Linked DNA regions of Notamacropus eugenii. The protein of the gene in region 3 binds, or shares a complex with, the protein of the main gene of each other region. Links are inferred from orthologs where the notes say so. Each region holds a gene or a part of one and is shown on either strand. Other genes may lie near its edges.

Region 1 (7,646 bases), on a different chromosome or scaffold from region 3:
AGATTATTTTAAAACCAAGTGATTAGGCTAAACTTAAGGAACAAGACATGCTTAGAGGAAAGAAAAGAATCATCCATACTGCCCCATAACTGTTAGGCAAATAAAAACTCCCAATAATGCACCCAATTAGTCATGCCTATGTCTTTGTTCTATCTCAGACATAGTTATCACAAATTACACTGGCAATGGGAACATGAATGTCATTTTTAAAAAATTAAAGTTGACAGGAAATTAGAACTTGATAAATTATGGATGCAAAGCAGTTCAGTCTACCTTGGAGTCAAGAAAATCTGCCTGTTATAATAACAGGGCTGACAATATGACAGTAATTTAGCCTCTCAGAGTCACCAGTCAACTTTATAAGACTGTCAATATTAAAGAAGTTGCCATCTATGTCCATGGAAAGAGTTTCAATATGAGAATTCCCTATATTAATGAAATCACAAGTCCAAACAAACAAAAAAATCATACCTGGATGAGGCATTTGCTCACATCACTAGCACAGAGAGCTTTGTTACAACTCAGTGAGAGAGGGATCCATGTTAGGAATATCAGTATGGCTACAGTAGGTACAAGATACTGTGACTTCATGTTTCCTCAAAGCAGACAAGGGGTAATCCCCACGAAGCTCTGAAATAAAAAACTCCACTTTAATAGACAGTACTAGAGTGAAAATCAGTCTCCTAATTTCAAATTAGGAATTATTCCGTTGAATATAATTTTCAATAAAAGTTGATTAAAAGCTCAGTAATAAATAAAAACTTTATATTATAATACAATGTAAACTATCCACAGAAAGTTGGTACAATTCCAATATATCCCCACCTAAGTAACTTAGATTATATCAAACAGGTAAAGTTTATTTAAGGTCAGTTCTTCAACTTCGGTAATCATGCTTGAAAAATATATCACCCTTTACCTAATCTGGGAATAATGAGCTTCAAACTTATCTACCTTGGTCCTCAGACCAAGAAGGTCATTTGCAGGCCCATTAGGGAATATAAATAAGAGACTATTCACTTTCATCAACCCTCTAAAAGTTCTATTCTGGTTACTCATTATGGTATTAAAGGGATCCCATGTTTCCATAAAGTAGCATAGCATAAGCCCTGAAAGGTCCTACATCCATGAAAGGCTTTGAGTAGGGACCCTGTGAAATAGGTTACCATCTGAGGATCTGCCTAGCTAAATTTGGAGAGGCTCATCACCATGCTGGCTACAGGATGATGAATTTTTCCACCACAGCAATTCTGGAAGTTGATCAGCTAAGGCATAAGGAGGGTTGTGGTTTGTGTTAATGTAAGGTATATCCTACACCAACAAAAATCCAGCTTCTCAAATACATAAGCATTCAACTCCACAGCACACATAAAATAAAATGTTTTTCAATCATAGTATTATCAATGAGTTTTTTAAATGTAGAATATACTAATGCTGATTTACAATTATTTCATATTTTTATAAAATGGACCTGAACCAACACGACAAAAAAATTTACAATTACTTAACCTCCATGAGTTTCAGTGTCCATAAAATGTGGACATTTAGATTTACCCTACAAACTTTCAAGGACTATTGTGAGCCCCAAATGAAACAAAACGTATGAAGTGCTTTAAATGTGGTAGCTCTCACAAGCTCTCTCTTTCCTTTTGTAACCTATCATAACCTACACAAGCTTAAGTGAATGACAGGGTGAGGGGAGAGTTCAAAACACTAACTGCACAAATTCATTATAGATGAGGCACCATTATGAGTTCTTGAAAGACACAATAGGGCTAAAACTATAAGAAACCAGAAAAAAAGATGATCAGATGTAAAATATATATATAACTTCTTGAATTTATTGATACACTTAGGTGTATATGTGGGTACATTTTTAAAAATTTTAAGTTGGTACATTTCGAATTTAAAAGGATAGTTAAGTTTGAGATTTCTGTAATTACATTTACTATTTCATTCTAAGCATTCAAGTTTTGTAAGCCAACAGCAGGGAGAAATGAAGACTCTTACATTAATGGCGGTAAGTATGACTCAAAATTTAGAAAGAGAAAGCCCTGTTGATGATTACTAGAACCACAAAACATTCCCCAAAGGACGTTAGTCACCCAACTTTGTAACTTGTTAAACTACTCTGACCAAATGGGATAATTTCTGGAGCCACTGGCATGTACTTGTGGAGTCAGAATATGCCATTTCTAATTCTGGTTTTTTCCCTCACTAGTTTTTGATCTTATTGACACTACAAATTAAGGAGTATTTGGTAGGAGGTTATTTTTTTTTTTTCAAAAAACTTTAACAAATTTAGCTTATTAAATAATCTTTATTTTCTTAAGAGGAAACAATTTAAGCAATCGAAGAACAACACAAAATCAGTGACACATTTTTTGCAAATCCAATTCTGCCTCACTTAAATGTTCATTTGCTGATACCTAAAATAACTTAAGTGAACATCTCTCTCCCAAATCTTTCATTCATCGAACCCAATTTCTACTAAACCAAAACTGTGGACTAACTTGTAGCAGACCTAAACACCCAAGACAACCATCTTCCCGGCCAAGGCTAAGTCAAGTCCCACGGCTTCTGCCTTCGGGAGGAGACGTCGGGGCCCCGGCCCCGGGGACCGGCACTGGGGGACTGGCACCGGGGGACCGGCACTGGCCCCCAGGCAAGCCTAGCCTTAACAAAGATGTTCTCACCTTCGAATCAGGGCAGGGGCGGATTAAGAGGCTGGGAGAGGGAGGCCTACAGGGAGTTCAGTCTACAGGCACTTTCAAAGGATGGCTGGGCTCGGGGATGCGTTTTCTTTCATTTGTTTGGGGAAAGAAAAGGAAGGACAGGAGAAAGAAGGTGGGAAGGACGGGAGCAAGGGGAGAAGGAGAGAGAGAAGGGGGGAAGGAGGGGAGTAAGGGGAGAAGGAGAGAGAGAAGGGAAAGGGAGGAGATAAAGGAGGGAGGAAGGGAAGGGGGAAGGGGAGGTCTGGGGGCCTGGATTCGCAGCTCTTTGGGTTCAGACAGAGAAGGATGCCCACGAGAAAGAATGAATGTCTCAAAAGGATAAAAGAAGCGCGGGCCGAGGGACCCAGGCACCCCACTCCCCCCACTGCGGCTACTCAACTCGACAAACATCTAAGGGAGTCCTGCCTTTGGACCGACCCGGGCCCAGGCCGGGCTGCAACCCCGCTCCCCCCGCGGCCGCCGCCCGCCCCGCTCTCCTCCAGAGGCCCGGCCAGGCCGCTCCCCGAAGCCCCGAGTTCCCCTCACCGTGAGGCGCGGCGCGGCCGGGCCGCCCTCCCTGCCCTCGGTCCCTCTTTCCCACTCGGAGCCGGGGGAGCCGGGAACTTGGCCTTGGGGAAGCAGCGCGTGCAGATGCCCCAGCCCAGCCACCCCCGCCCCCTACCTCTCCCGGGCACCGCCCCCCCTCGGCAGCCCCCCTCCGCAGAGCGGGGCTGCCCCGCCTCGGGCACCTTAAAGAGACAGGGCCCTTCTCCTCTCCTCTTCCTCGCCCACGAGGCTGCTCTGGCTCCGCCAACCCCCCCACCCCCAAGCCTTCCTCTCCAGCCCCCCTCCTCTCCTTCTCCAGGCCCCTCCCTCTCCAGCCCCCTCCTCTCTCCCTCTCCTGCATACCTTTTCTCTCGTTCCCTTTCATTCCCTCTTCCTTCACCCCCAATCCTCTTACCCTCTCTATGAGCCGTATCCCCCCAGTCCTTTCTTGCCCTTTTCCTCTCTATAACCCCTGACCTCTCCCTCTGTCCTCACTTCTAGGGCACATTCATCACGCAGCATGCCTCCACTCTCCCAAGCTTACCCTTCTCCCTGCTTACCCCTTTCTCTCCATTGCCTTCCCCACTCCAGCAGTCCTTACCCCACCTCCAACTTTTTGAAATATATGTCTTCCAGGGGACAAACACACACACACACACACACACCAATTTTTACAACCCACCTATCTTCTGTATTTGTTTATCAACCCCTTTCTAGCAGCTAATTCCCCTCTTCCTTTATTTGTCCAAAAGAGAACTATTATGAAGTTTCCAAGTAAAACAAGTCAGCATCTTAAATATAGATTTTCATTAGCGACAGTGAAAATAGCAATTTGATAAATTATCCCAAATAGGATAATTATTGTCCCAACTAGTGACACCAACAGTCACCCTCACCTCCCTGAATACAATCCCTGAATCAGAGAACAGACAGTTCCTTTTTCTTTTCTATTATAGCAAATGTATATAGCAAATGTAGGATCTTACTAGCCTAACAATTAAGGTGCCTAGGATCATCTAACTCTAGGGAGGTTCTGGCTGAGGCTGGGCCTTTGGCAGACACAGATTTTCCTGGACCATTTAAAGGAAACCAGAGTTTTAATTAGGTTTTCTTTGTGTAGCACACAGGGTCTGAGATTATCTCAACTCACACTTAGACTAACACTATAGACTAAGTCTATAAATATTTTTGTACATGTTTTAACTATTTACCAAAAAAAAAAAAAAAAGAATACTAAGTAGCTGCCTTTATCCACCTCCCTAGGATGTGTCAGCATCATGTAACAGGTTAAGTCCACTTGTGAGGATTTAATGAGTTTGTAGGATCATAGCTTTAGAACTAAAGAGACTTAAATGGTTCAATCTCTTTATTTTATAGTGAAGGAAACTGAGGCCCAGAGAGGTCAAGTGATTGATTCAAGATCACATTGCTAGACCTAGAAAGCACAGAGCAGACAGTAATATCTGATCTATAAGGAGTTATATTTCTCACAGCAAATAAAATGGCATTCTGTTTTTATCAGTTTTTGGGTTGTTGTGGTTGTTTTTTTATAACATTATTTTTAGTTTTCAACATTCATTTCCATAGGTTTTAAAATTTTTCCATCTCCTTCCCCTTCCCCCTCCCAAGATAGCATTCAATAAGATATAGGCTCTCTATATACATTCTTATTAAACATATTTTCACAATAGTCATGTTGTATAGAAGAATTAGAAGGAATGGGAGGAGCCATAAAAAAGAAAAACAAAACTTATGAAGCAAATAGTCTGCTTCACTTTGCATTCAGACTCCATAGTTCTTTCTCTGGATGTGGATGGCATTCTCCATCATGAGTCTTTCGAAGTTGTTTTAGGTCATTGCATTGCTGAGAAGAGCTAAATTTATCAGTCAGTCAACACACAACGTGGCTTTACTGTATACAGTGTTCTGGTTCTCCTCACTTCAGTCAGCAACAGTTCATATAAGTCTTTCCATGTTTTTCTGAAGTTTGCCTGCTCATCATTTCTTCTATCACAGTAGTATTCCATTACATTCATATACCACAACTTGTTCAGCCATTCCCTGATTAAGGAGCATCCCCTCAATTTCCAGCCACCACAAAAAGAGCTGCTATAAATATTTTTGTACATGTGGGTTGCTGTTGTTTTTTAAAGCATGAATCAATTCCCCAAAGAAAAGAAGTTCCGCAGAAAAGAGTCCCTACTTCTAGGTGGGCATCAATTTATAGCTAAAAGGGATTGTGAGGTCATTTAGCTCAATCCCTTCATTTTACAGCTTAGTAAAATTGGGTCATAGAAAGGTCTAACTTGCCCAAGGTCACACTGTTAGTAAGTGTGTGAGACACTACTGGAACAAAGTTTTTCCTGATTCTAGGGTTACTGCACCATCTACTACACCACACCGCTCCTATAAGCAACTCAGCCTGAGCAATTAACTGACCTATCTTTCCTGACCATTTCTTAACTTCAACCTGTTTTAGTTTCCTAATCAATTAATTATAATTGATAATTATAAGCTCCTTGAGGGAAAAAACTGGATTTTCAATAAATACTGTATTCATATATTTCCTCTTAAGAAAAAACCTTTACTTGATCCTACCATCCTATACTGCTATGGTCCCTTTCACAGCCAGACTCAGAAAAAAGCTATTTATAGTAATGACTTCCATTTCCCTATCTCCTAGTCACTTCTCAGCCTCTTGCAATCTGGTTTCTGTGCTTGCCACTCAAATGAGGGTCCAAATCACATCTGATGCTTACCACCTATGTGACGTTGGACAAGTTACTTAACCTTCATTTTCCATCTGTAAAATGAGGAAGTTGGACCAGATGTCTTCTGAGGTCCCTTCCAATGTTAGGTCTATGAAATTCCTCTCAAAAGTCACCAATGAGCTCTTTATTGCTGAATTCAGCAATAAATAATCCTTGTGGATAATCTCTCTGCCCTGGGTTTTCTTGACACAACTCCGTCATGATCATCTTCTTACATTTCATGCTGACTCTTGTTGATGATTCCCAAGTTCATTATCCATGTTGCTGCCCACTCTCTTCATGCAAGTGCCCCAGGGCTAACACTCAGTTTTTTTCTTCTGTCTTGGTGATTTCATTAGAGCCCATGGATTCTGACTCTGTTCAGATGATCTTCAAACCTACATATTCAGTCCTTGTCTCCTAAGTTTTAGTCCTATATCTCCAACTGCCCATGGAGCATATATGTATATATAGATATACATGTACATATATATCTAGATAAGTATATGGATATATGTACGTGTATACCTATATGCATATAGATAGACATGACTTGTCTAGGTGTATATGATCCTAAACATATATTACCTACCTCCTAAACATATTATCCTAAGCATATATTATCCACATGACTTGTCTAAATGTATATGTTCCTATACAGAATACATATATACAGATACATATATGTACATATAAACACATATACCCACATGATGTGTCTAAATGTGTGTATATGTGTATCTATATGTATAGATACACCTATATAGCATGTATGGCTACATGACATATATATACACACATATGTACATGACATTTAAATGTATAGCTGATATTTGTGTCTGGAAGAAATAGATATATCTCTGGTTTCTCTTAGGGAAGTATGGTACCCCTTGGCCTATATTTACCAGATTAGCCCTTTGAATAGTAAATAAACCATTTGTTTAAGCAAAACAGTAAATAGAAATTAGAGTTCTACAGTTAGGATATACCAGAAAATACACAAAAGGGAATACACTTTTTTTGCTGGGAGTAAGATAAGATCTCAGTTCAAGTCAATACAGAGGCCTTAATATCCCCCAAAGGGAAATTCTCTCTTCAAAGTTTTTAAGGAGAAAAACTGGAAATTAGACACCCTGTGAGGAGCTGGTTTTCCCTACACATCTGCAGTTTCCAAAGTCTTGCTTTTTCTCTTCTCTGAAGTCTCTCTCACTACATGTATCTTTGTCAGAAGCTCTGGCACTAATTCTTCTCCTTATGCATACAGATAGGCAGTGTTGCCTCGACATTCTCTCAACCAGTTAGATGTCATATCTCCCTCCGTGACCCTCTTGGGTGGGAGTCATGGTTACATTAATGTAATACTAAGAACTATTGCTGGACCCAAGGGTGTGTGTGTGGTGACAGTCCTTTGTCTCTCTACAAAGGTGCCCCCTTTCCTCATTCAAAATGTGTTCAGTCCTGGAGGAATCTGGCTCCTACTGAGGGATCAGGTTTTTGGTTTTTGGTTTTTGTTCATATTCTCTGGTTCTAACCCTTGAACCCTAGGGAAAATTTTTTAGTTCATATCTGGTCTCACCAGTGTGGGGCTGGGGATGGGAAAAATACAAAGGTACTCAATGTATAATGAGTATAATGA
Region 2 (7,979 bases), about 170 Mb from region 3:
AACGGAAGCTTACAACACAAATATAGGAGAAAACAATAACTTGAATACATATACAAGAAGGAAAAAGACAGACTGGACACAAGGTCAACAAGAATTCCTAGAAGTGATAAAGAAACCAATTTTTAAAAAGAGAAAAAAAATGTTTTAAATCAAGTAAAAGTAGTATATAAAAAATTGGGAAAAGAAATGAGCGCTTTGCAAGAAAATTATGAAGAGAATTAGTAGCCTGATAAAAGAGGTCTAAAACAACACTGAAAAAAATAGAAGAAAATGTGAAATATCTCATAGGAAAAACAAGTGACCTGGAAAACAGATCAAAGAGAGAGAATTTAAGAATTGCTAGACTGTCTGAAAGCCATGAAAAAAGGGCTGAGACATCATATTTCAAGAAATTATAACGGAAAATCACCCAGATATCTCAGAATCAGAGGGCAAAGTAGAAATTGAAAGAATCCACTGAAAGACACTGCCTCCTGAAAGACACTTACATTCTAATAAAAGACAACACAAATTAGAGGGCAGAAGCCAAAAAAAAGAGGGGGGCAGTTTGGTCAGGGAAATTGTGGTGAGTGGAATTACAAGGAATCATCACACCCGTTCCAGAACCAACAGAAGTGTTCATTTGATTACTCTTACCCAAGGTATATAAAGGAAGAACATGGCAGAGGTAAAGCATGGAGAGAGCTGGTAAAGAAGGATCTCTGACCCTCTAGATGCAGTGAACTCTCACCAATCAGGGTAGCACGGTCCCAAAGCACAGTTCCAAACTTAAGTGGCTTAGTTCCTGCAGGGCATGGTTTCTAGTGGCCTGATTAAGAGGGGTAAAGCAGCTGCAATGATAGAAGCAACAGGGCAGCATAAAGGGAAGATAGCCCAGGTAAAACACAAAGTAAGTGCTCACATGGATAAATAAAATGGAATTCCAAGTTTAAAATGTTTCCTTTTATAATTCCCACCTTAACCTCTACTATTAAGACATCATAAAATTCATTTTAAAATACATAGCTATTTTTAAATAGATAAAACTTTAAAACACAACACAAAATTTGTCCTAAAGATATTAACAAGTAAACTATCTCCAACTCTCCAATAAGAATGGGTCAAAATTGAAAAATCAATGCAAATGAACAAAGATGAATACCTTTATGAACTACAGTCTTCTAAGTTATTGACAATGCTATGTCTCAAATTTCAAGTCAATGGGATAGAAGCTTGTGGAAAAGATAGATTGCTAGAGATTAATAGTAAATATTTTTTCATACTTCTTAATTTCAAGTTTTAAAACACTGTGAATAAAAACCTAAAATAAATATATTTTAGCAAATTTAGTGGTTAGAGTTAAGAAAGGCAGAAAAGTGTCATTGCAGTTTGCAGTAGGGATGAATATCTGAAAAATGTACAGCAAAATCAAGGTGAAGTACAATTAAATTGGCAGTGGTGCATCACCCTCCAAGGTAGTTACAATCACCAAGAAGAAAAACTCCATAATAAATACATAATAGAATAATAATTCAGTGTGGAAGATATAAATAGCAAGTCCAAATTTAGTACAAACAGTCCAGTAATTCTTCGTGAAGTTTTTTTTTTTTTAATCAGAACTCCCAAACTTTGTTAGGAAGGGGAAAAACAATCTATTTAAAGATGAATAAAATATATACACTTTAAAGGTATTATAATTAGTCATTAGATACAAAATAAAAGGCTTGACTTCTTCCCAAAAAGTTTTAAATCTAATGTTCTTAAATGTTCACAAAAAATATATACTTCATACACTTAGGAAATGTTCTCTTTTTCAAAGTTTCAATTGCTATTTCTGTAACTGAACCTTTGTATAAAGAATGCACAGCTGCTCAGCAGATGTATAATTTCTCTGTTTAGATTCCATTATTTCTAACTTCATTTTGCTGGATGTTTTTGGATGTTCTATTTCCATCTGGTTTTTGACCTCCCTCAGCTCTGTTCCTTCTTCCCCCAATCTTATTCTGTTTTAGTTCATTCATTAAGTACCTCCCCCCCCTCAAAAAAACCTTCTTCAAATTAGAAACATCTTAACATTCATAACTTGTAAGCTTTCTAGAAACCTAGGAGTAGGGATTTAGGAAGGGAGACGAAGGCGGAGAAGGAACAACAATCACATGACTATGCCAAGACAGAAAGCTATTTCAACTTAGCTCCTTGTTTTTTTTTAGTTTCCCTTTCACTGAATACACACCAATGCAATTATAAGAAATTAATGTGAGACAAAATATAATTTCAGTATTATTCACTTTCTTCTTTCTCCAAAGTCTTTAGTGTTAATAGAAAAGTTAAAATTGTATCATATGTTTATATGAATAGCAAATAAAAAACATTAAAATTAAATTAAATTTTCAATGACTATAACTACATTGAATAACTTTTTTTATAAATTGGAACAGTTCAGGAGCAGCCCACAAAATAGACTCATACAATATTAAGTGATCATAAATCTAGAGCTGGAAGGGACCTCAGAGTTTATCTAATCTAGCTGCCTCACTTTACAAATGAGAAAATGAGGTGCAGAAAAGTTAAGTGACTCGCCCAAGGTCACATACATAGTAGAGATTTCAACCCATTTCAGAGCCAGTGTTCTTCCCATGACACTCTGCTGACATGATATGTACTTGCTTTCAGACAGATTCTAGAGCACAAGAGTAACATTACTAAACTGCTCATTCTATGAACACAATATCAAGGAATATCAGGAAAACACCTGGATCAGTTGCAACTATTGCTAGATGAGGAAAAACACTGCTTTCCCTGCTATTGAAAGCAATCTCTTCCCTTTCCTCCCCTCCCATATTCAATCAGTTGCTAAGTCCTATTGATTCTACCTTCCAGTCTTCTCTCCTCTATGCTCTCTGCTCTACTCTAAGGGTACCACCATCTCAGTGCAGGCCCTACACCTGGACTATCCTGAAGTACTGAAGTAGGTGGCTAGTTGATATCCACATTTCAAGTTCTATCCACCACTCAGCTACGAAAGTGATCTTCCTAAAGGTGAGGGTCTGCTCAAACCCACACCACCCCCAATTCAGTAAATCCCAGCAGCTCTCCATTACCGTCAGGATGAAACAGAAAGTCCTGTCAGGTTTTTAAAGGCTTTCATAACCTGGTCCCTTCCTATCTTTCCATTTTCCTTAAATATTGCTTCCTTCCCTGTATTCTATAATCTAATCACCCTGGAGGCTTTGCTGTTCCTCGAACAAAACATTCCATCTCAGGATTCCAGGCATTTTCTGTGGATGGCCCTCACGCCTGGAATGCTCTCTTCCTCAACTCCACCTCCTGCTTCCCTGGCTTCCAAGTCTCCACTAAACTCCCATCATTTACAAGAAACCTTTCCCAATCTGCCTTAATGCTAATTGGAAATTATCTCCAACTTATCTTGTTTTCATATTGTTTCTGCCATTAGAATGTGCGCTGGCTGCTTCAAAGACAGAGGCTGTTTTTGCCTTCTTTGTATCCCTGTCATTTAGCACAATGCCTGACACATTAAGATTAAGTGTTTAATAAATGCTTCTTGTTTGTGGTTTATTCTCATCTAATCAATGGTTTGTTGAGTACCATACTCTGTACATGACACTGTTCTTGGATGCTATGAAAAATAATCCCAAAAGATATGCACTCCACATATTCTCAAGAAGTTTACAATTTAAGATAAACATGAACAAACACATACAGCAATGATTATTTTTTTAAATGATTTAAAATGATTATTTTTTTTTAAATATACCTAGAAGGTCTGGAATAAAACATTGGCTTTTTTAAAAATTCCTATATTTAAAACTTTTCACCAAAGGGATAAGCAAGATAAATGTTTGCTTAACTGAACTACAGATGTAAAAAAAAGGCCTATTTGCTGTTTCTCATTTCTAGGAAACACTATAGGAAGCAATAAAGAGAAGACTCTCACCCATGAGAAACTATACAAACATCATATTTTCATTACAGGAATCTTACAATCTTGCAAAAAGTATAAGCTTTAGAAGGAAACACATGTAAGCTTTTTTAAAAAAAAAAAGCCTAATTAGAACTTCCTGTGGATATTAATGAAGGAAAAAATTGCCAGACTTTAGAGGAAATATGATGCCATCATGTATGTTACTGAAAAAGTAACTAACATAGGAGAAATCATAAAAATTAGAAGAAAAAAATCTTCAGGATCAAAGTAAAAACATTCTTACTCTAATTTGTTATAAATTCTACCACCACACTTACAGGAAAACACTTAGCATTTCTATTAACTAGCTTATGATTAATCCTTTATTTTCAATCCAGAGCAGGATAAAAACCTCAAGTCCTTGTTGCTCAATGAGATACACCTGTATATACTACACGTTGAAGCAGTACTTCTACTGATATTTTCATCAGTTTCAAAATTAAGTCATTCAAAATAATACAGAATATTGGAGAATAGGCTGTTTTGGTTAATGTACAGTTTGATTCAATTCAATAAACATGTAGGAAATGCCCTCTATTTGACCAATATAATGTTAGGTGTTAGGCATACAAAGACAAAAATGAAAACTGCTCTGGCCAAAAGAAGTATGTTTTGTTTGTTTGTTTGTGGTAGGATCAGTGCTTTGACTGTCGTTACATGGAGCTAATCCCTCTTCCCAAGGCAGATGGCAGTTGTCAAGAAACCCAGGAGATGCCAGGGTGGGAAAGAGTTAAGTGATTCACCAAGGGTCTCACAGTCGGTATAAGTCAGATGCAGACTCTGAATCCACGCTTTCAAAGCTAGATTCCTCTCTGTGCCAGCCTCAATGCCTAGGCACACTCTGATGTAAACATCCAAGTATACAAAGTAATAAGGGCAGGGGCTAGGCAGAGTTAATTATAGGACCTCCACTTGCAGGGAAGTCCTGGCCTTCAGCAATGCCTCCTGTGCTCCTCAATTCTTATCCTATTCCTTCTTTACCTTTTCCTTAGTTAAACAAATTACCACTTACCATACATGGATTACAAAATCTAAAAGAATTAGAATTTTTAAAGGCATCAATCTAAAATTATATTGACTATAATTTAATCTTTGATGATTCAGAAACTACTTCAAGATTGTGCTATGCCTCAAAGCCCCTACGAATGTAAGTCACTGTACTAAGATGAAATGTGGATGGAAGAGATGTTTGCACTGACCAAAAGAACCCAGATGTATTATTTTTTAAATAAAAACTAATATTTAAAACTTAAATTGAATGTTATTTCTCTATACTGGCCATGCTTAGTCCCCCAGAAGAGAAGCAGAATACTTCCCCCTTACAAAGCTGAGGATTTCTGCTTTGAGACACAAACACTTTGTTAACATGCTAGTTAGGTTTGCTTTTTTAGTCATAACTTTTTTCTTTTTCTTTTTCTTTTCGTTATAAAGGATAGCTTTCTGAGTGAGAGACAGGGAAAAGATCTACTTAGAAATGAAGATGATGTGAAAAGACATGAATAAAAATTTAAAAACAAGTCTGTTATCAACTTGTCTCTTCCCCTCCCCCCCAAAAAAAACTGGGTTTCAGAATTCTGTCATCTCTAAAAAAACATTAAAACATTAAATTTAAAGTTATATGACCTTTCTAGTTGTCTCCATTCAGAAAAAAAGGGCATTAAATGCACATTCATATTATTCTTTAAAAAATCTTTACAAAGGGAAGATAATAATTCCATTTGCTTAACCTCAACTAATTTTTTCAATAAAAAGTGATCAATCTAACAACCTATTACATAGTGTTTGCTCTTTTATGCAAATTGATAGTTGCTAGTAAATGAAGAGCAAAGGTCTAGTTAAGTTACAAATGCAATTACACTAAAGAGGTGATGTCACACAGTTAACAACTAGTTTTATTACTAAATGTATATATGCACAGAGCTGACACTAACTCCATAAGGTCAAAAGTGAAGCTTATCTTTTAAATTTTCTTATCGAATAAAAAAAAAAAAAGCTTTCACTGAAAAATCTCCACCAATCAAAAGCAGGGCTTGATTAAATGTTACTTCATGTTACTTTGAGGATTATGATCATTTTCATTTTATTTTTTTGAATGGAGCTTTTGTTTTTACATCACTTTTATTTCCAAGTCTCTCTCTGTCTCTCTGTCTCTTTGTCTCTGTCTCTCTCTCTCTTTCCCTCTCTCCTTCCCTCCCTCAAATCACTTCTACACACACAGTCCCACTCTCCACCTAGGGAACTATCCCTTTTATCTCTTTTTAAATTTATAAAATGCATAATATTTAAAAAGGAAATCAATTATATTGAAAAGCTGTTATTAAGATTAAAAAAAAACTCAAATTCATAAACCCCAAACTACAAAAATCTTCTTAAGAGTCTTTATTTTTATTTCAAAAGTTATTTAATTATTTTAAAAGAGAATAGTGTGAAATCCTTAAAGTGAAAATAGAAAATACCCCTTCGGACCTGCCAAGGCATTTTCATAAATCAAACAATCCAAACTCCTCATTTTATAGAAAAGAAAACTGAGACCCAGAAACAAGAACTTAGAATTTAAGTCCCATGGCTGGTTTATGGAAAAGTCAAAGCAAGAAAGAATAATCCAGGCCCACTCATTCCCAATTCAATAACTTCTCCCTTACAGAATATTTTCCTTATAGAAGGCTTTCTCACTCTCTACTTATCCGTCTTTCACAGACAGAGCACACCCCTTTCTTTTCCTTTATCAGCATCTGCTAAATACTCAATTGGTCACAATTTTAATCCAAACTTTTCTTCCCTCCCCTTTTGCCTCTATCATAAATTCAAATTTTGATATAATGTAAATAAATATTCCTCATAGGATTTAGGAGTTTTAGATAAATGCCCGTTTAATCATTAAATTCCACCTATTTCCAATAACAGCACACCCACAGCATAGATTACTATTTAATACAGTACTAGGGATGACTACCCAGGGGTGGGGAACCAGTAGTCTCAAGACCACATGTGGCCTTCTAGGTCCTTGGATGCAGCCTTTAGACTGAGTCCAGATTTTACAAAACAGATACTTATATTAAGGGAATTTGTTCTGTGAAGTTTGGATTCCGTCAAAGTGCCACACTTGAGGACCTAGAGGGCCACATCTAGGCCACAGGTTCCCCAGCCCTGTACTACACTGATCCCAGTAAAAGTCAATCAAAGGAATTAGGAATGATTACTTTTGAGAAGACTTCAGAGAATGAGGATCATGGAGTTAGTTTAAGGTTGGAATGACCCTTAGAGAGATCAATCTAATCTAATTCCCTTATTTTACAGATAAGGAAATTGGGTCGCACAGACATTAAGTGACCTAAGAGGCATTGTGATCTGGTGGAAAAGCACTAGACCAGGGGTGATTAGACTGAAGTGTGTGGACTTTTTAAATATGTGATAAACTACATTTCAATACATTTGGTTTCCTTTCCAATCCTATGCATTTTATTTAAAAACATTATTCTGAGAAGCAGTCCTGAGGCCACACACACACACACACACACACCCTCTCTCTTTTTCCACACACACACACATACACACACACACACACACACACACACACACACACACACACACACACACACACACACACACACACACCCTCTCTCTTTTTCCCTCTCTCTTCTTTTGATAAGAAAATCTATACTAGACAAACAGAAGTCCTGGCTTGGATACTGTCCATTTCACTTCTCCAACCCTCAGTTTCTTCACTTGTAAAATGGACATCGTATTCACACTACTTGCTTTATAGGATTGCTATGAAGAAAATTTGGTCAAACTGACATAATTTTTAATAAGTTATTATCACTGCCGAAGATCAAATGGGTAGCAAAGAGAAGATATGCAGATGCAAACTTTCAGGGGGGTTTTCTCAGTAGTCTTTCTAGCAACTAGGCTATAATATGATCAATCTTTTCAAAATTGGAAGTCAGGAAAGAGAAATTAGACATACTCTAATTCTAGAAGCCAGAAGGAGATATGGATGGCAATTATGAGGCATCAA
Region 3 (7,951 bases):
AGTATACTAATGGAAAAGAGAAGTCCATGTGACACTGGCCATGACCATGGAGAAGGATGGGTGGCTGGAGGGGTGATGCTGCTACCTGCAGCCACAGGACTCCACAACCATGTCCTCATACTGCTTGTAGACCACATTGTTGGCAGAATCAATGAAGAGGATGCTGATGGGACTCAGCCTGGTAGGTACACAGCAGGTAGGAGGGGTAGATTCTGGATCCATGGAGTTCATGAGAGTCTGGATGACAGCATGGTTGGTGGGCTCCAGGTGAGATCGAAGGGGAAACTCACAGAGTCCTTCACAGTGGAAGGCCTCATATTCCAAGGGTGCAATGATCCAGTCATCCCAGCCCATGTCCTTGAAGTTAACATGCAGTGCCTTGCGACTGCAACGGGCCTTGGGATTCTTGCTGGGTCGCTTGCCCTGACGTGTTGTGAGTGGGGCCCGCCGTTTCCGACGCTGACTGAATAGGTACTCATACACAGTCTTATCATCTTGGCCAGAACGAGCCTTAATTTCATTAAAAAACAGATCACGTTTCTTAGTGCGGCCAAACACCAGAAATAAGGCCTTCTCATGGACCTGACGAGCAATTCGGTCAAAACCCACACCACGTAGGTCCATGACACGACCTCGATCCCAGGCCTCCAGCTCCAAACACAGCTGAGCTGAGTTCTTAAAATTTCGGAAGAGCTTCCAGATGTCAAACACTTCCCAACGGGGGCTATCCAGACCTGGTACAGAACGTACATCAAGCAAGATGCCTGGTTGCCGGCCACTGGGACAGCTAGACAACTTCAACTGGGCTGGCCGCCCAGGGACAGATGGCTTTGACCCATCTGAGGGCTTTTTCCGCAGGATCCGTAACTCAGCTCCCAACAACCCATCTTTTTCCAGAGCACTGATGTCAAATACATATTTTTGCTTCCTGACTGCAGGACCTCTGTCATCTAGAGAGAAAGAAATAGGATCATTCTTGATGCTCCTGCAGAGTCTCTGTAATGTACAGGAAGAAGCTACTGAATCTAAGAAAACTACTTAACATTTTCTCCACTAGGATAGAAGCTGGGACCCCACATTCTATTCTGAGAGTGTACAAATGAAGAGAACTTACTAAACAACAAGTACATTACCAAATCCATTGTGGGCATAAACATGCAAGCAAGTGTGTGATGTCCTCTGATGTCCTCTATACTCAGGGTACGTGTGTATCATGGGAGAAAGAGACAGAGAGAATGTATAACTATGTTGAAGCCCATGTTCTGTGTGTGTGAACTGTATGTGTTTTACTCATTGGGTAGGTGAATATATCTCTATAGATGATCATTCAAAGGATGTTCTTATATGACACAGCTTCAGTATATGTCAGAATATGTTATCCTACCTAAACACCAATTTGCCACCAGGGAGTATTCACATGTTGGCCTAGAAGGTGACTAATTGGACTTTTAAACTCCTCATCTCCCCTCCCTGAGCAACTTCAGTGCTAGGGGACATGGGGACTTACTTTATGAGTCCTGAAGGAATTACAGCTTTCCCTAACTGGGCACAGAGCCAGCCTACCTCCCCCACCCCAACCAGGCTTGCTGCCACTGAGCCTGGCTCAGTCTCACCCCCTCCCCCAACATCAAATGTTTAATGAATATGTTCTCCCCCTTCCTTAAACTCCCTCCCAGAAGGCACTCAAGTAGAAGTTCTAAGAATCATAGAATTTTAGAAACTCATAGGTGGAAGGGACCTTAGAAATCTTCTAGTACAACCTCCTTATTTTTTTATATAGGGACAAATTAAGACTCAAAAAAGTAAGTCCCTTATATAAGATCACAAGAGAGTTAAGCGGTCAGATTGAAACAGAAGAATTTGAGCACCACAGTTACAAAAAATAAGGAGAACCTAAGTTCTCCTGGGTTATGTATGAAAGTACCAAACCATTTAGCTTTGTTTAGGACAGGAGGACTCATTGACAGTGCTCTTCTCCCACACCATCCCCCAGCTGAAATTCCATCTCCTCTGCAATGAATCCCTTGTTCCCCTCAACATTCCCAACGCTCACCTCTGATCTAGCTTCATCTAGAACTAAGGGAGGAGAGTCCATGCAAATAAAGAACAAGGAACTGAGAAACAGGATACCAAGGTTTTCATCCCAGCTCATGCAACCAATGCACTATGACCTTCAGAAAGTCTCTTGCCCTGTCTGAACCTCAGTTTTCTCCTCTGCAAACTCATGGACCTGCACTGGATGAACCTTAAGGTCCCTTCCTGCTCTGATGTCCTACAATTCGATGTCCTAGTGCATGTAGCCCACACAACCAGATGCACAATAATACAAGAGGTAACCTCTGGCATGTGTAACTGGTAGCTGGGAGATAAACACACTCCCCTGGACATCCCTCCTTGACCTGGGGTTAGCATTGCCTCTCACCTTGCCCTTTGTCTATGAAGCTGGTGATGGTGTTGGCCAGCCCAGCCTCCAGCTTCACGCTGCCATTGACTCCCTTCCTATCAGCATCCGATAGCGTCCTGTACAGGGAGAGCATGTACTCATGGGGCGTGACTGGGGGTGGTCGGAATGGTTCCTTGGGCTCGCTTGGGGGCCCTGGCTCCTTGGCCTTTTTCAGTAGGAAAGTACTGGAACTGGGGCCGCCCTTTGGAGGAACCTTGGCACCAGGGAGCTGCCCTTTGGGGGTCACAGTCCGGGCTCCCAACTGCCTTGCATGGGGGAATTCTGGCTTGGGCTCAGGACCTCCGGATCTCGAGGGCATCTTTTTGGGCTGATCCTTCTTGGGTAGTAGGCCTCCAGCTTGGCTGGCGCTGCCCTTTGCCCTGGCATTAGTGGCTGCCCCACTGATGCCATGTCCCCCCGGCCTGAAGCTGCCTCTGGCCGGGGGGGAACGCTCCTTGGCTTCTGCCTTGGCCAATCCCGGTCTGGACCCTGAGCTTCTCTGTGCCAGGTCTGGGGCACTCAGAACAGTGCTGATAAGATCTAGGTCCAACCAAGTCAGGTGCCAGAGCAAGAAAGCGAGGAGTCTTGGGAGTCTCATCCTCTAACCTGCCGCTGATTGGCACCAAAGAGAACAGCGGCGAAGGTATCTCTGGTTTGGCAGGAGAAACCATGAAAGGAACGAAACCTGGAAGGCAAGGGCGGCAGCGGCAGCGGCAGCAAGGGCAGCGGCAAGGGCTTTCTCCTCAGTCTGAGACTCTTTAAATCTGCCTCTTGCGCGTCTGTATCCAGTCCCATAGTGGAAACGCTCTTGTATCCAGACGTGCGCCCGTCTTCAGTCAGCAGCTGAAAATAACTCGTTCTTGAAAGCAGAAAGCCGACCGCCCCTTTTCTCCTGCAGGACTGACGGAGAGTTTGAAGGAGGCTTGTTTTAAGTCTGAGGGTTTTTTCCAAGAAGGAAGAATGGCGTAATGCTGCCTCTGGGCTCCAGTTTTTTTTTTTTTTTAAGTTTTGAATCCTTTCCAGTGAAAATATTTCACACACACACACACACACACACACACACACACACACACACACACACACACACACACACACCCGCTTGCAGGTGCTCAGTGAAAAAAAAATCTTTTACAAACCTGAACTCAGGAATTGGAAACGGAATTCCAACAAAAACCAATTTAATTACTCTCTGATGTCATGCTGTCTAAACTAATTTAAGTACGATATATTTATGTGAAAGAAAAAAAAAAGTCGTCTCTGCCTTTTCACGGACGGTGACTCACACCGGGGATGGGGGTGGGGGTGGGCGGTTCAGTGGGACCCTCATGCCCAGGGACTGCCCTGGAGCCTTGGGAGGAGCACGGGGCCTCCACCTGGGGTGTGCAGAGCCAGCCCCATCCAGAGGAGAAAGCAATTCACGGTTCTTAAAGCACACCACCAAGGGGGAGGGGGCGGCAGGCTAGTGCGGGGCAGGGGGGTTGGGGGGGGGTGGATTGGGGGAGGCGGGTCTAGGTTTTCAAAGTCAAGTCCTTGGAGTGTTTTTAAAGTAGTTACTACTCAGCCTCTGAGTCTGGGGCCTAACGGAGGGGGCACGTAACAGTCAGTAGTATTTACCAACAGCTCCTTTTATTTTAATAAACTTGAGATGACCTGGAGACCGATATGCCTTCTTCTATCCCACAAGAAAACGCTCAGAGGATGCCTGGGCCCCAGAATGTCACCCTGTGTATGCCACCCCTTTCGGACCCCACTCCCGCAGGGGACGTTGGTGGAGATGGTTTGCATAGGCTGCTCCCAAGTTCCTACCAGTTAGCAGACTGGATAGCCCTTCATTAGGGACGGGATTTACCCAGTCCTGGAGCAGCAGTGACCCCTGCAGGACAAGGGAAACTCACCACATAATTCAAGGTGCCCCTCATTCTTGAGACATACATGGGGGAAATTCAGGTGTTTCTTAAAATGTCAAATCGAAAGCCAGGCACTTTTGTGGAAGCTGAGGTCGATACTAGGTAGGACATTGCAGTCTGGCAGGGGTGGGAATCTTAATGAAGAAGATATTTTAGTCCAGGTGCAATAATAATAATAATGATGATAAAATGCATTTATATGGCTCTCTAAGGTTTGCAAAGCACCCTTTAGAAACATCCGCTCACCTTATCTTCACAATCTTAAGGGGTAGGTGCTATTATTATCTCCATCTTACAGATGGGGAAAATGATACAGGTAGCGGTTAAGTGACTGGTCCAGGGTCACCCAAGCAGTCAGTGTCTGACGCTGAATTTGAACTTGGTCTTCCTGACTTCAGACCCATCACTCTAACCACTGACACCACCTAGCTGCAGGTGTGGGTGTACAGGATTTGTCACATTACAATAGCTCTTATCCAAATCCTTCAAGCTGCTGAGATCTGGGAGCCTACAACTATAAAGCATATTGTCTTCATTGTTCCAGGATTAATGGGACAGTAGACATCAAAGAGCTCTATCTTTACCAGGTGCCCCAAACTCAGCCAACAGTTCCAAACAAGAGATTGCTAGTTTAGCAATTCATTGATCTTAGAAAACTATCCAGAGTCAGTTTTAGCTCAAGTTTCTTGCCTTTTGGACAGAGGAGAAGCTATGGTAAGTCTAGGAAAGAAAAGAACAATTTTACTCATGCTGTCCCAACTTCAAGTTATCCTTGGAGAAATGAGTCTTCCACTGCCTTTGCCATTGCAATGACCCAAGCTTCAATTAAATCTTAAGGAAAAACAAAACCTATCTTGTGCTCACTGGTCTAGTTGTGGAATCAAACATCAGAAGACCTGGGTTTAATGCTTATGATGTTACTTTTGCCTTAGCCCTTGGTGCCAAATGGGGCCAATGGTGAACAAATGAGTTGTAAAACCTTGAAACAAGACTGTAGGGTAAGGGAGACTTCAGGACAAAAGCTGCAGGAAATCCATAGTAGAAAAATCAAGTTTAAAAAGCAGTAGAAGAATTCATAGTTGACTGTATTCTGCTCTGAGACTCCTTGGAGACTATCCTCTCACTCCCTCCAACACACTGGGATACTGGAGATATTAAACACCCTCAAAACATAGGACATTATCAGTGGGGACGGGGCTTTCAGGCATGGGGAGGGGGAGAGAGGGAAAGGCTTGGGGACAGGGTGGGAGGCACTCTCAAGGGAAATGCCCAAGGGACACATTTGGCTCTTACTAAAAAGGTGACTAATCACTTCTGTCCCCTTTGGTAATTGCAACCAGATGCTGCCTCTGGCAGTGCCGACATCTTTAATTACTGGGACCCAGAGCCCTGGTTCCCCCACCCCACTCCACCCCCATCTCCCCCTATGTCTCCCTTATATGTCAACAATATTAATGTCTAACTCTAGGCAGAGCAAGGGAGCCTTGGGAAGCAGTCATTCTGTCTGAAATTCAAGGCGTGAAAATAATAGCAAGTTCTTACATTTGGTTTTTCTATTAATAAATTTTGTCTTAAAGCACACAAACAAAACAAAATATAAAATCTTTCAAAAAGTTACTCAAAACAACACAAAAATCTGATTGCAAATGTTTGTACTTGCAAGTGTTCGCTTTTATTATTTGTTTGTTAAAAGAAAAGAAGGTGGTGCTTTAACAAAGCAGTACCGCCATTCCCAGTGTATTAAACCTCAGTTTTATTGCTATTTAAGGCTGTCTTCCACTTCGATAACTACCATCAGTGAATATGTTGTTCTTTTGCAAACCCTTATGTTTGTAGAAAACTTTTCATTTTGTAGAATATTACCTATTGATTGTTACATTTGAATCTCATTATCCCCGTGAATTAGGAAGGGCAGGGATTATCATGCCCATATTACATAGGAAGAAACAGAGGCTATAACTTCATCCTGCAGGTTGGGGAAAGAAACAGATTAGAATCTGTCACCTGACTCCCCAGCCTGGTTCTTTTCCTACTCGTCAGGGTATAAGGTGAATCTATCACTGAAAAGTTATTAAAAGCCTAACTGGGTAGTCAACTAGCAAGAGCCCCTGATTTATACTCTAACTCCATTAAGGTGCTTCTACCCATGTCAATTATCTTAGGTCAACACAAGCTAGACAGTCCTGGAATAGAAAACATGACCTTTAAGAGATTCAGACAATCAATCCATCAACAAGTATTTATTAGTAATTATTATTGACATTTAAATAGTGTTTTAAAGTTTGTAAAGCACCTTCATAAATTACCTTATTTGAGCCTCAACAACATTCCGATTTAAAGACAAGAAAACTGAGGCTCAGAGAGGTAGTGTCTTGTCCATGGTCTCATAGCTAGTTAATGTCAGAGGCAAAATTTGAATCTATCTTTCCGACTTCAAATCCAACACTATCCTATGAGATTCCACATTTTCTGATTGGTCAGCCCTTTGCACACAGCTTTGTTCATCAGAAACTCTTAAAGAGTTTACAATCACTTCAGCAAAGTTGCAGAATATAACCCACAATCATCATCATCATTTCTTTATACTACCAATAAAATCCAGCAGCAAGAGATAGAAAAAGAAATTCCACTTAAAATAACCACAGACGATATAAAAAACTTGGGAGTCTACCTGCTAAGACAAACCCAGGGATTATATGAACATAATTACAAAACACTTTTTACAAAAATACAGGCAGATCTAAACATCTGGAGAAATATTAATTGCTCATGAGTAGGCTGAGCCAATACAATAAAAATGACAATTCTGTTCAAGTTAATTTACTTATTCAGTGCCATACTGTTGAGGTCTAGAGGTGCCGGGACCCCAAAATTCAAGGCAAACAACATAGGTCCTGCCTCGAATGAATTCAACTCAAGACTTCTTTCAGTCTGAGACAAGGTTTATTAAAACATCAATCAGGTTAGGCAAGATTTTAAGAATCCACAATATTGTGACACTTGTATTGACAAGCAGACTAGATTGAATCTGAGCCATTGGCCAGATTCTTAAGGAATCTGAGCACTTTAATAGAGACAAAATGAACCTTATATACAGTGGTCAAGAAGTGGGAATATCTGGATGGGAATGACTGTAAGAAAGGGTCTAGAAGGAATAAAGGATGAGAGGTGGCTGGGGTGATTGGGAGGTAACAATGAAGGGCTGTGCTACATTAGAGGTAACAGAGAACTGGAGGTTTGGCAGGTGTGTGTGGTTTGTCCCTCGCTGCTGAAAAAAACCATGCCATCAGAGAAATGATGACATGACTTGCACTTGACTTTGTTTTGAGTGAGGGAGGGCTGTGCAGGTCACCAGCCTCACTTCTCCTCCAGAGCCATCTGAATCCAGTGACCAGATATTCATCAGGATGACTGGAGATGATCCAGGATGAGGCAAATGGGGTTAAGTGACTTGCCCAAGGTCACACAGCTAGTGAGTGTCAAGTGTCTGAGGTGAGATTTGAACTCAGGTCCTCCTGACTCCTGCACTGGTGCTCTATCCACTGCACCACCTAGCTGCCCTGGTTTAGGAGGAGGGCCAATGAAAGGCCAGTAGAAAGGA
Region 4 (8,445 bases), on a different chromosome or scaffold from region 3:
TCTTCCTCAGCCCTAAATCCATCTGTTCCATGTTAAAACACCCTAGTCCTCTTCGCTGCACTCCTCCTTTCTCCTAGGCGTCCCTGAATACCAAGCATCCCTATTACCAGTTCAAATCATTCATTCCTCACTCCTCCTCCCTACAGTCTCAATCTTAGCAGTTTCTATAGGTGTGAGCTCTTTTAGAAACTTCACCATCTAAATTTTTGTTTACTGAGGGCTCTGACACTTCCACTTTTTCTTCTAGATTCCCTGGACAAGGAAAGTGACAAATAAGAAGGAGTAAAGGGAGATGCTGGTAGTAAAGGGAGTCGATGAGAAGGTGTGGGACAAATAGTTAATAGTAGTAACGGAGAGGGAGAGTCTGGGAGAGTAGCCAAGAATGGAGGGAGGGAACAGCAAAGGCATAAAATTATGACGGAATAGCCAATGAGGACCAGAGTGGCTAGTGTATATTTTGGGGGCAACCATTGCCAAAGAAACTAATCAGTAAGTGGTTGTGCGGGTCGTGGTAGTGGAACTAAAGCTGTTCATAAGGACTGACTGTCTATACCCTGACCTTCCCCGTGGCAGTGGCGTTGGCTCCAGTGGCCACCGGGTAGCTAGTAGCCTGGACGAAAAGGAAGTCGTTGTCCAAAAGAGGCCAGGAGCCTTGGACACGGCACGTGTGGAAGTGGTGGTGGAAGCTGCGTACGTGTGGATCCCCAAAGGCGGCACAATGCAGGAAGCCCGGGGGACGACCGTGTAGCCTAGAAAACCGGCCTTCATAGTCACAGGGGTCTGGAGCAGGAGGGCCAGAAGAAAGGGAGGAGCCAGAGCCAGGAGGGGCGGGACCCTGAGGAGGGGGTGGAGCCGTGGGACCCTGGCGGGAGCAGTTGTGTTGGATCATCAAATCTTCTATCCCGTGGACAGCAGAATGGAAGGCCAAGTCCCCTCGGCAGGTACGCGCAGTACGCCGTGTGCAGAGCGCATAGGATCGCAGGGCGCGACATAGGCCACCAGAGTTCGCCCCTGGGCCCCGGACTCCACCTCCCCGGTTCCCTCCAGCAGATCCCCCACTTCGTAGGTTCAACGTGGATGATACATACTCAGCGTTGCAGCGGAGGATTTTGCATTGAGAGTGAGCTGGTGGGGGGGGGGGGGGGGGGAAACGGGAGGCGGGAGAAGAAAGGGGGAAAGGTTGGGGGGAGAAGGAGGGGGAAAAGATAGAGAGTGGAGGATTTTATTGTCAGAAAGGCCTCACTCTATCCTCAACCTAGCTCCCAACACCCCTCCCACAGTTCATTAGTAGGGCCCCAACCTTCCAAATAGCATATACCAATTGAGGACCACCTCTTCAACCTCGGTTAAACAGTTGCCAATCCCTTTGCCTTTCCCTATGACAGTTGGACAATGCATGTAGTTCCTAGTCTTTCTGCTAAAGAAGCACCCTCCCTCAGCTAAGGGATCTTGCCAGTTTCTCCACCCCTCTTTCCAGGGTCTCTCCCTTCCTCCTCCCTCCTCCTTTCCCCGAGTTCTCCTTGATCTGTGATATACCGGTTGTAGTCCTGAGTTTGAATGTGAATGATTGGGATCCCTCAGGCCTTTACTGTATCCCCCTTTCCCCTTGCCTCCCCCAGACCCTTCCCTAACCCTCCCCTTACCATGTCCACAGAAGAGCAGCAGAAGAGTGAGGGTGCTTAGTGAGCTGCCACGGGTGGACCAGAGACTTGGGGAATGGCTTGGTTCCCTCATCCCTATCCAGCCAGGTCCCCCCTGGTCCCCAGGTCTCTTCCGACTGCTGGCTGGATCCCCTGGAAGGGACCTCAGTCAAAGAGAAATCTGGTTGGGGGTTGAGGTGAGAGGAGCCAAAGTCTGAGTGAGAAGGGTTATAGGGGATATATAGGGAGGTCAAAGAAATGATGGGAGGTAGGAATGAGAGGAGAGAACTGGAGATTTAGGGCTTGGAGAACCTTTCTGGCACTGTGTCTTCCTCCCATGGTCACCCCAGGGCCCTTGTGCAACACCCCAGTCAGAGGTGGAGGGAGGATGGGGGGCGGGTGTTGGGATGAGGGGAGCAGAGTCCACTGTACTGACCCATCCCAAGTTGACCAAACAGTAGAGGGGTCAAAAGACAAATGACCAAGCGGACAGAGCTACTCTGTTACCCCAATGGGCCCCTCAATGGGAATACAATCTGGGAACATTTCAGAAACACAACTCATTTCCTTATGGGTTTACTGAAGACCCAGGTGACCTGGCACGCCCTTCATACCTGGATCAGGAGAATGAAAAGAAGGGATAAAACTAGGAATATCTAAGGCCTATTTTGAATAGTGACATGCAGATCAGTTTCTTTTGGAACCTAGATCTACTAGGTAGGTGTTAGCCACCTGTTATGCTTTCTCCGTAGAATAACAAGTGCAAAATGAGTGTGTAAATCAATTTTTTTTTTTTCTGATCCAACAGCTCCTTTGCTTTTCCTAATATTCCGGTAATGCTTCTCCCAACCACTAACCCCTTCAGCCCTGCAAATATAAAATAATCTGCTCCTCCCTTACATTCAATACCTTTCCCTTCCCTGCTTTGGTAAAACTAATCGCCCATTACTAATCTGGTGGAGAACCTGGGCTAACATTGGGGTGGTGCAAGGGAGAGATTGTGCAGGTGAAGCATAGACTGGAGAGAGGCTGATAATTGTGAAGGGAGGTCTGTAGTTGAAAGTTGCCTCTTACACTCACAATTCAGAAGCTCTTTGGGTATGCCTGGAGGTGGGAATAGGGTAAGGGGTGTCAGTGCCCAAATATCTGAGTCTATAATTAGCTTTGGCAGAGAGAACCACAAAGGTGGAGACTTAGAGAACACCCCCTAAACCCCACCAGAAAGTCTGAGACAAACAGTGAGAATGGAACAGGAGGATTTCTGGCTGTGAGACCCAGGTGATGGGGGAAGGGTAGTAAGAAAGGCTGGGTATAGCCCTTTATTCTTTCTCCTAGAAAAACATCCCTCTCAGCCAAGTCATCTTACTAGACAATTTTTCTTCCCCTTCCCCCCTTGGCACAGAGTCTTCTCTGCTCTAGGATATATCCCATGTAGTCAGCATATCAGCATGCAGTTCTCATGCCAGCTTGAGGAGATTGGGACTACCAGCCTATGTAGCCTAGAGGAACTGAGGTTGGTGTCCATGATTCTCAGCATTAAGAAAAATGCAAACCCATATGCTAACCAAAACTTTTTGAAAGAAGCTTTAACTTTCTAGGGACTTACCTTTGTATCTAGAGGTCGTGTCAGACTGTTATCCAGTTTTCCATCCAGTGTTGCCTACTGTCTGTCAGCTTTATCCAAGGGTCCCATATCTCCTTTTCCATGTCCCTTTTCGCTCAACTCCAGTACCGAGCCCTAGCTACAGGCTGTCTGAGGCCAAGGAGCTAGGAAAGATTTGGGGGGTGAGGAGTGAACATACAACGAAAGGGATGGACAGCTGGGGATGGGGGAGAGAGGCTAAGTTGAGGTGGAAGGAGGCCTGACCACTGAGTTGAGAGTTTTAAAAATAGCCAGGACCATAATTCTGGGGGGAGGGAGGGAGCAGGAGAGCAGAAAGATTTGTAGTTTTGTGTGTGTATATGTGTGAGTATGTGTGTGTGTGTGTATGTGTATAGAGATAACAGGGGAAGGGGTCAGATATCCAGTTCCATTCTATATGAAGCCCCAGTCACCATCTCATCCAGGCAGTCCTTAGGGATTTCTAAAACATAGGGTCTTGCCCTTGAGGAATTGGGGCAAGTACTTGGATATGTCCCCTTTGGATATTGCTACCTGCTCTCTACAGATGCCATTTTGGTGTGGAAAGCAGCTATCATTAAATAAAAACTACTGCAGGAGATAAATCCCTCCCCCAAATTCCTCAACCCCCACTCCCCCAAGTCTATCAAAGTAGGGCCAAAGAAACCAGCTGCCCAGAGAAATCTGAGCCTGGAGTTGATGAGAAGCTGGGGCTGTTAAAATCTATTTTCCCCTGCCCTAGATCCACATTTAGCTCTGGTCTGTGCAGCTGCTGTCTGTTCTCCCTCCCCACTTTCCTTCTTACTCCTCTCCCCATTATTCACCTCCCCCAATAAAAAAAAGAGTCCAGCTGAATTTCTAAAGGAAAATAATAAAAAGTGTGAGTATGTAGGCCAGGGGAATCTCCCTGCCTCCCTCTGCCACCAAATCACACAGATAAAAATCATTATAGTACTTCACAGGGAAAAAGTAAATTATTTTTTTCCTTCTGAAAGGAAATCATTGTGTCATAAATTCAGAGCTGGAAGAGACCTTACAAGTCATCTGGTTTTTTTGCCTCATTTTACAGATGAAGAAACAAAGCCAGAGATCTCTTTTCCAAGGTCGTATAGGTAGTAAAATGGCAAAACTCCAATCTGAACTTCGTAAAACATTCCACTTACTTAGTTAAAAAAATTAAGAGTTAGGAACATAAAATTGCAAAATGGTTTTTTTTGTGGCTAATAGTTAATGGAGAAAGAGAAGAGGGAAATTGGAATAGTAACAGACAAAAAGAGGTTTAAAAAAAGACAATTTCATGGAGTAGCAGCTCCATCTTATGGCCTTCTAGTATATTACAGCTCAATATTTATATTCTTTTCTGGTCCACAGGCCAGCAGCATATCTTTGTATTTCCCCTACTGACCAGAAATAAGATTAGGGGCTAAATCTGCCCTATAGGCCAGAGATTTATAACCCTTAACATGGATGATTGGGCTAGGCATAGTGGCAAACGTCTATAATCCCTGCTATTGGGCATGCTGAGGCTTGTGGATCTCTCAAGGTTGCGATTTCTCAGCAGTAGGAGGCTAAATGGATTGAATGGATCCAATATAATGAACCTGTAATAGTAAGGCGATCTTTTTAAAACCTCCCTGATTGACTCATTATCACATTCACCAAAGTGACTGTTAACAACTTTTTCCTCCCTCCTCAAATTTCTCTCTGCCATCTCAGCTGAACACCTTGTTTCATTCTTCACCCCAAAAATGGAATCCATATGTCAAGAGCTCCCTCTTATCTCCTCCTCAGTTTACATTACTGAGTTGTATTCCTTAACTACCCACCTTCATTTCATCCTTGTGTCATATGAACTGGCCCTTCTCCTTGTCAAAGCTAACCTATCTACCTGTTCCGTTAATTGAATTTTCATGCTATCTTCTTTAGCAAATTGCCCTCCTTTTCATTCTCACACTCTAATTTTCAGGGTTTTTTTTTTTGTTTTTATCGATTGGCTGCTTCCCTGATGTCTACAACATACCCATGGGCATCACCATCCTTAAAAAGTCCTTAGATGATTCAACCATTTCCTCCAGATATCATCCCATATTTTTCTCTTTTTCACCAAACTCCTTGAGAAAGTCATCTAATAGATGTTTCTACTTCTATAGATGAGAGAATATCCATGAGAAAAAGATTTTCAACATCATCAAATGCTGTAGAGAATTCAAAAAGGATGAAGACTGAGAAAAGGCCATTGGATTTGGCAATGTAGAGGTCATTGTTAGTGTTAAAAAGTTTCAAGTCAGAAGCCAGACTACAAGTTAAGTGAGAAGAGATGATGTGGGAGCAGTGAGTACAAACAGGTATTTAGGAGTTTGTCTGGGAAAGGAAGAGGTATAAGACGATAGCTTAAGGAAGTTGATAGGGTTAAATGAGGATTTCCAAGGATCAGGGAGATGAGCATATTTTTAGACAGGGGAGAAGGCAAAAGTGGCTAGGGAAAGACTGGAAAATTAGAGGTGGGGGATGATTGTAGGGACAATCTATGAGACCAGATGGGAAGGCAAGGTTGGCCTTGGCAAGGAGACTAGAGTAAAGGAGGAGACAATGGGGAAGGGAATTGTCAAGGGCTTTGAGAGTTCAAGGAGAGGAGAAGAGGTCAAATTTTCTCCATTTTCTCAATAAAATATGGGGTGAAATCCTTTCCACACCATGCTACCTGCTGCTCCAGCCTCCCCTCTGCCTCCTGGAACCTGAATTCCCAGGATTTGGTTTGATTAGCTTTTATTTTACTTAGTCTTGATCTCAGGCCTAGCATGCCACTTTGGGGCCATCTATTCTTTGCTATATGTACCCCTTAACCACTTTCCATCTCTAATTATAGACTATAAGCTCTTTGAAAGCACGACTATCTTACTTGATTGTATGTGTTGTTGTTTGTTCTTCATTATTGAAGAGGACCTATGACACCATGGGGTGATGTCCTAGCTTGTGTGTGAATTGGATTTAAGTGAGACAGAGCTGCACAAAGTCATCAGCCTCACTCTCTCTTCCACAGTCATCAAAGTCTACAGCCAGATAAAAGTCAACACATCCATGATGGCCAGGATATAGTGGCTGGGATGCACCTTCATGTGTTTGATGTCCGATCAAGCTCTAAGTGCTCTATAATGCTATGTGGGGCATTCAAGAAGGGTTTACCAAGCCCTCTTCATCCACCTTTGGTATCCACCTGCTACCAACTCTTACCTGTGACTCCAGGAAGCTGTTATATTCCCATTGACCAGCCTCTGCTGAAACTGAATCAGCAGATGGATTAAACCAGGTTGAGGGTAACCAACAGGCCTCAGATCTGTCGGTGAGTTACAGGGATGTCTACCCCAAGCATGTGAAGACTTCTCCCAGTGTAATGGAATAGGTTTGCATTTGTATAATCATCACTTAGCACAGAGCCTGGCACATGGAAAGTACTTAATAAATACTTTTTTATTCTTTCATTTTGCTGAGATAATTGGAGAATGGTATGTTGTAGGGGACTTGAGGAGAGAAGAGATAGTGGGCAGCAGTTTCTTTTGAGAATAGAGAATCAGTTAGGATTAAGTTAAAGGATTAGGGGCTCAGTTTAGTTTTATACCACATATATTGCCACTGTGCTAGCTCAGGTCCTTATCACTTTGTTAGTCTCTTTGTATTCTCTAATCTAGTCTTTAGAGTGGCCAAATAGATTTTCCTAAAGTACAGGTCTGACGACATCCATCCAAGAGGTAAAGAAGTTCTAGTGGCTTTCATTTAACTCCAGGATATCATACAAAGTCTTTTGTTGCATTTTTAAAGTCCATTGTACTGTGGCTCCAGCTTGTCTTTATCCTTTCTCCCTGGCCTGCCATGTTTTCCCAACCCTGGCTTCCTTCAAGGTCTTGCTTAAGTGCCGTTTCTGATGTCTGGATCATTAAGTTGCTTCTGCTTTCTCCTGCCCCCAAGAGAATGCTTTTATTTTCTTTTGGTGTACACATATTTCTGTGTATATATGTGTATAAATACATATATATATATATATGTATGTGTATATCTTAAAAAGACTATCTACAATAGGTGCCTCCACTTTCTCTTTTCTCATTTTCTTCTTAATTCCTTGCAATCTGGCTTCAACCTTATCACTGAAACTGCTTTCTCTAAAGTTACTAATGATCTCTTCTTAGTTGCCAAATTGAGTGGCCTTTTCTCTGACCTCATTCTCCTTGACCTCTCTGCAGTCTTGGGTGCTGTTGATCATTTTCTCCTCTTTGATGCTCTCTTCCCTCTAGGTTTTTCAGATACTTCTCCCCTTACCTATCTGACTGTTCTTTCTCAGTCTCCTTTGCTACATCCTCCTCTGGATCACCCTCTCTAACCTTAGATGTCCCTCAGGGTTCTGTCCTGGGTTCCCTTCTCTTCTCCTTCTATACTACTTTACTTGGTGATCTCATCAGCTTGCCAATTACTGTTTATGTAATGACAATTCTGAAATCTACCTATCCTGTTCCAACCCTTCTGTGACCCAATTTCACATCTCCAAATGACTTTCAGACATCTCAAACTGGATGTCCACTAGACATCTTAAACCCAATTTGTCCAAAATGGAACGTGTTACTTTTCTCCCTAAACCCTTTCCCCTCCCACCTTCCCAGTTACCATCAAGGGCAACATCGTTCTCTCAGTCCCTCAGTCTCATAACCTAGGAGTCATTTTGGACTTCTTCCTGTCTCTCACCCCCCCATATCCAATCTGTTGCCAAAGTCTGTCAATTTTATCTTTTAAGGTCTCTTGAATATGGCCCCTTCTCTCCTCTGACACTGCCCCACTGTGATGCAAATCCTTCTCGACTCACACTTGGATTATTTCAGTGGGCTAATGGTCAACCTCCCCCAAATCTCTCCTCACTTTAATCCATCCTTCCTTCAGCCACTAAAGTAATTTTCTTAAAGTTCAGATCCAACTATGTTATGCTCCTCAATAAACTCCAGTGAGATTGCCTCCAGGATCAGATACAAAATGCTCTGTTGAGCATTCAAAGCCCTTTCTAACCTAGCTCCTTCCTACTCAGACACAGTATTTAGTCCTGTAACTCTAGCCTCCTGGCTGTCTCAGGAACAAGATATTTTATTTCTTAGCTCAGAGCCTTCCTGGAACACTCCTTCTCCCTCCTCCACTCTGACTCCCTAG

What was found.
Region 1: the proteins of GDF5 (region 3) and TWSG1 are in contact, whole or in part, in a crystal structure (PDB 8BWL), measured with the Homo sapiens proteins. The link is inferred for Notamacropus eugenii from reciprocal best matches to the Homo sapiens genes GDF5 and TWSG1. Residues at the interface, in NP_000548.2 of Homo sapiens: Glu434, Phe435, Pro436, Ser439, His440, Glu442, Asn445, Val448, Ile449, Leu452, Ser455; in NP_065699.1 of Homo sapiens: Cys26, Lys28, Cys31, Ala32, Ser33, Val35, Ser36, Leu39, Ile40, Cys44, Gln45, Cys46, Arg47, Cys73, Val74.
Region 2: the proteins of GDF5 (region 3) and BMPR1A are in contact, whole or in part, in a crystal structure (PDB 3QB4), measured with the Homo sapiens proteins. The link is inferred for Notamacropus eugenii from reciprocal best matches to the Homo sapiens genes GDF5 and BMPR1A. Residues at the interface, in NP_000548.2 of Homo sapiens: Arg399, Phe435, Pro436, Leu437, Ser439, His440, Glu442, Pro443, Asn445, Val448, Ile449, Leu452, Ser455, Met456, Pro458; in NP_001393490.1 of Homo sapiens: Gly65, His66, Cys67, Pro68, Ile77, Thr78, Phe83, Ile85, Glu87, Cys100, Met101, Lys102, Glu104, Gly105, Phe108, Gln109, Asp112, Ser113, Lys115, Ala116, Gln117, Arg120, Ile122.
Region 4: the proteins of GDF5 (region 3) and HJV are in contact, whole or in part, in a crystal structure (PDB 6Z3L), measured with the Homo sapiens proteins. The link is inferred for Notamacropus eugenii from reciprocal best matches to the Homo sapiens genes GDF5 and HJV. Residues at the interface, in NP_000548.2 of Homo sapiens: Met412, Trp414, Trp417, Phe478, Asp480, Ser481, Lys488, Tyr490, Met493; in NP_001366281.1 of Homo sapiens: Arg95, Arg98, Gly99, Leu101, His104, Ser105, His108.

The regions. Positions count from the first base shown.
Region 1 is NC_092875.1:233,829,300-233,836,945, forward strand, and holds the start of TWSG1 (twisted gastrulation protein homolog 1), read right to left. Parts: upstream 3,431-7,646; 5' UTR 3,261-3,430; intron 631-3,260; 5' UTR 592-630; coding exon 472-591; intron 1-471. UniProt on the Homo sapiens protein: May be involved in dorsoventral axis formation. Seems to antagonize BMP signaling by forming ternary complexes with CHRD and BMPs, thereby preventing BMPs from binding to their receptors.
Region 2 is NC_092872.1:253,323,525-253,331,503, reverse strand, and holds the start of BMPR1A (bone morphogenetic protein receptor type-1A), read right to left. Parts: upstream 3,194-7,979; 5' UTR 3,081-3,193; intron 1-3,080. UniProt on the Homo sapiens protein: On ligand binding, forms a receptor complex consisting of two type II and two type I transmembrane serine/threonine kinases.
Region 3 is NC_092872.1:419,485,878-419,493,828, forward strand, and holds the start of GDF5 (growth/differentiation factor 5), read right to left. Parts: upstream 3,546-7,951; 5' UTR 3,042-3,545; coding exon 2,423-3,041; intron 951-2,422; coding exon 82-950; 3' UTR 1-81. UniProt on the Homo sapiens protein: Growth factor involved in bone and cartilage formation. During cartilage development regulates differentiation of chondrogenic tissue through two pathways.
Region 4 is NC_092873.1:303,319,207-303,327,651, forward strand, and holds the start of HJV (hemojuvelin), read right to left. Parts: upstream 3,327-8,445; 5' UTR 3,247-3,326; exon of another isoform or gene 2,226-3,246; intron 1,822-2,225; 5' UTR 1,735-1,821; coding exon 1,644-1,734; intron 1,126-1,643; coding exon 560-1,125; intron 1-559. UniProt on the Homo sapiens protein: Acts as a bone morphogenetic protein (BMP) coreceptor. Through enhancement of BMP signaling regulates hepcidin (HAMP) expression and regulates iron homeostasis.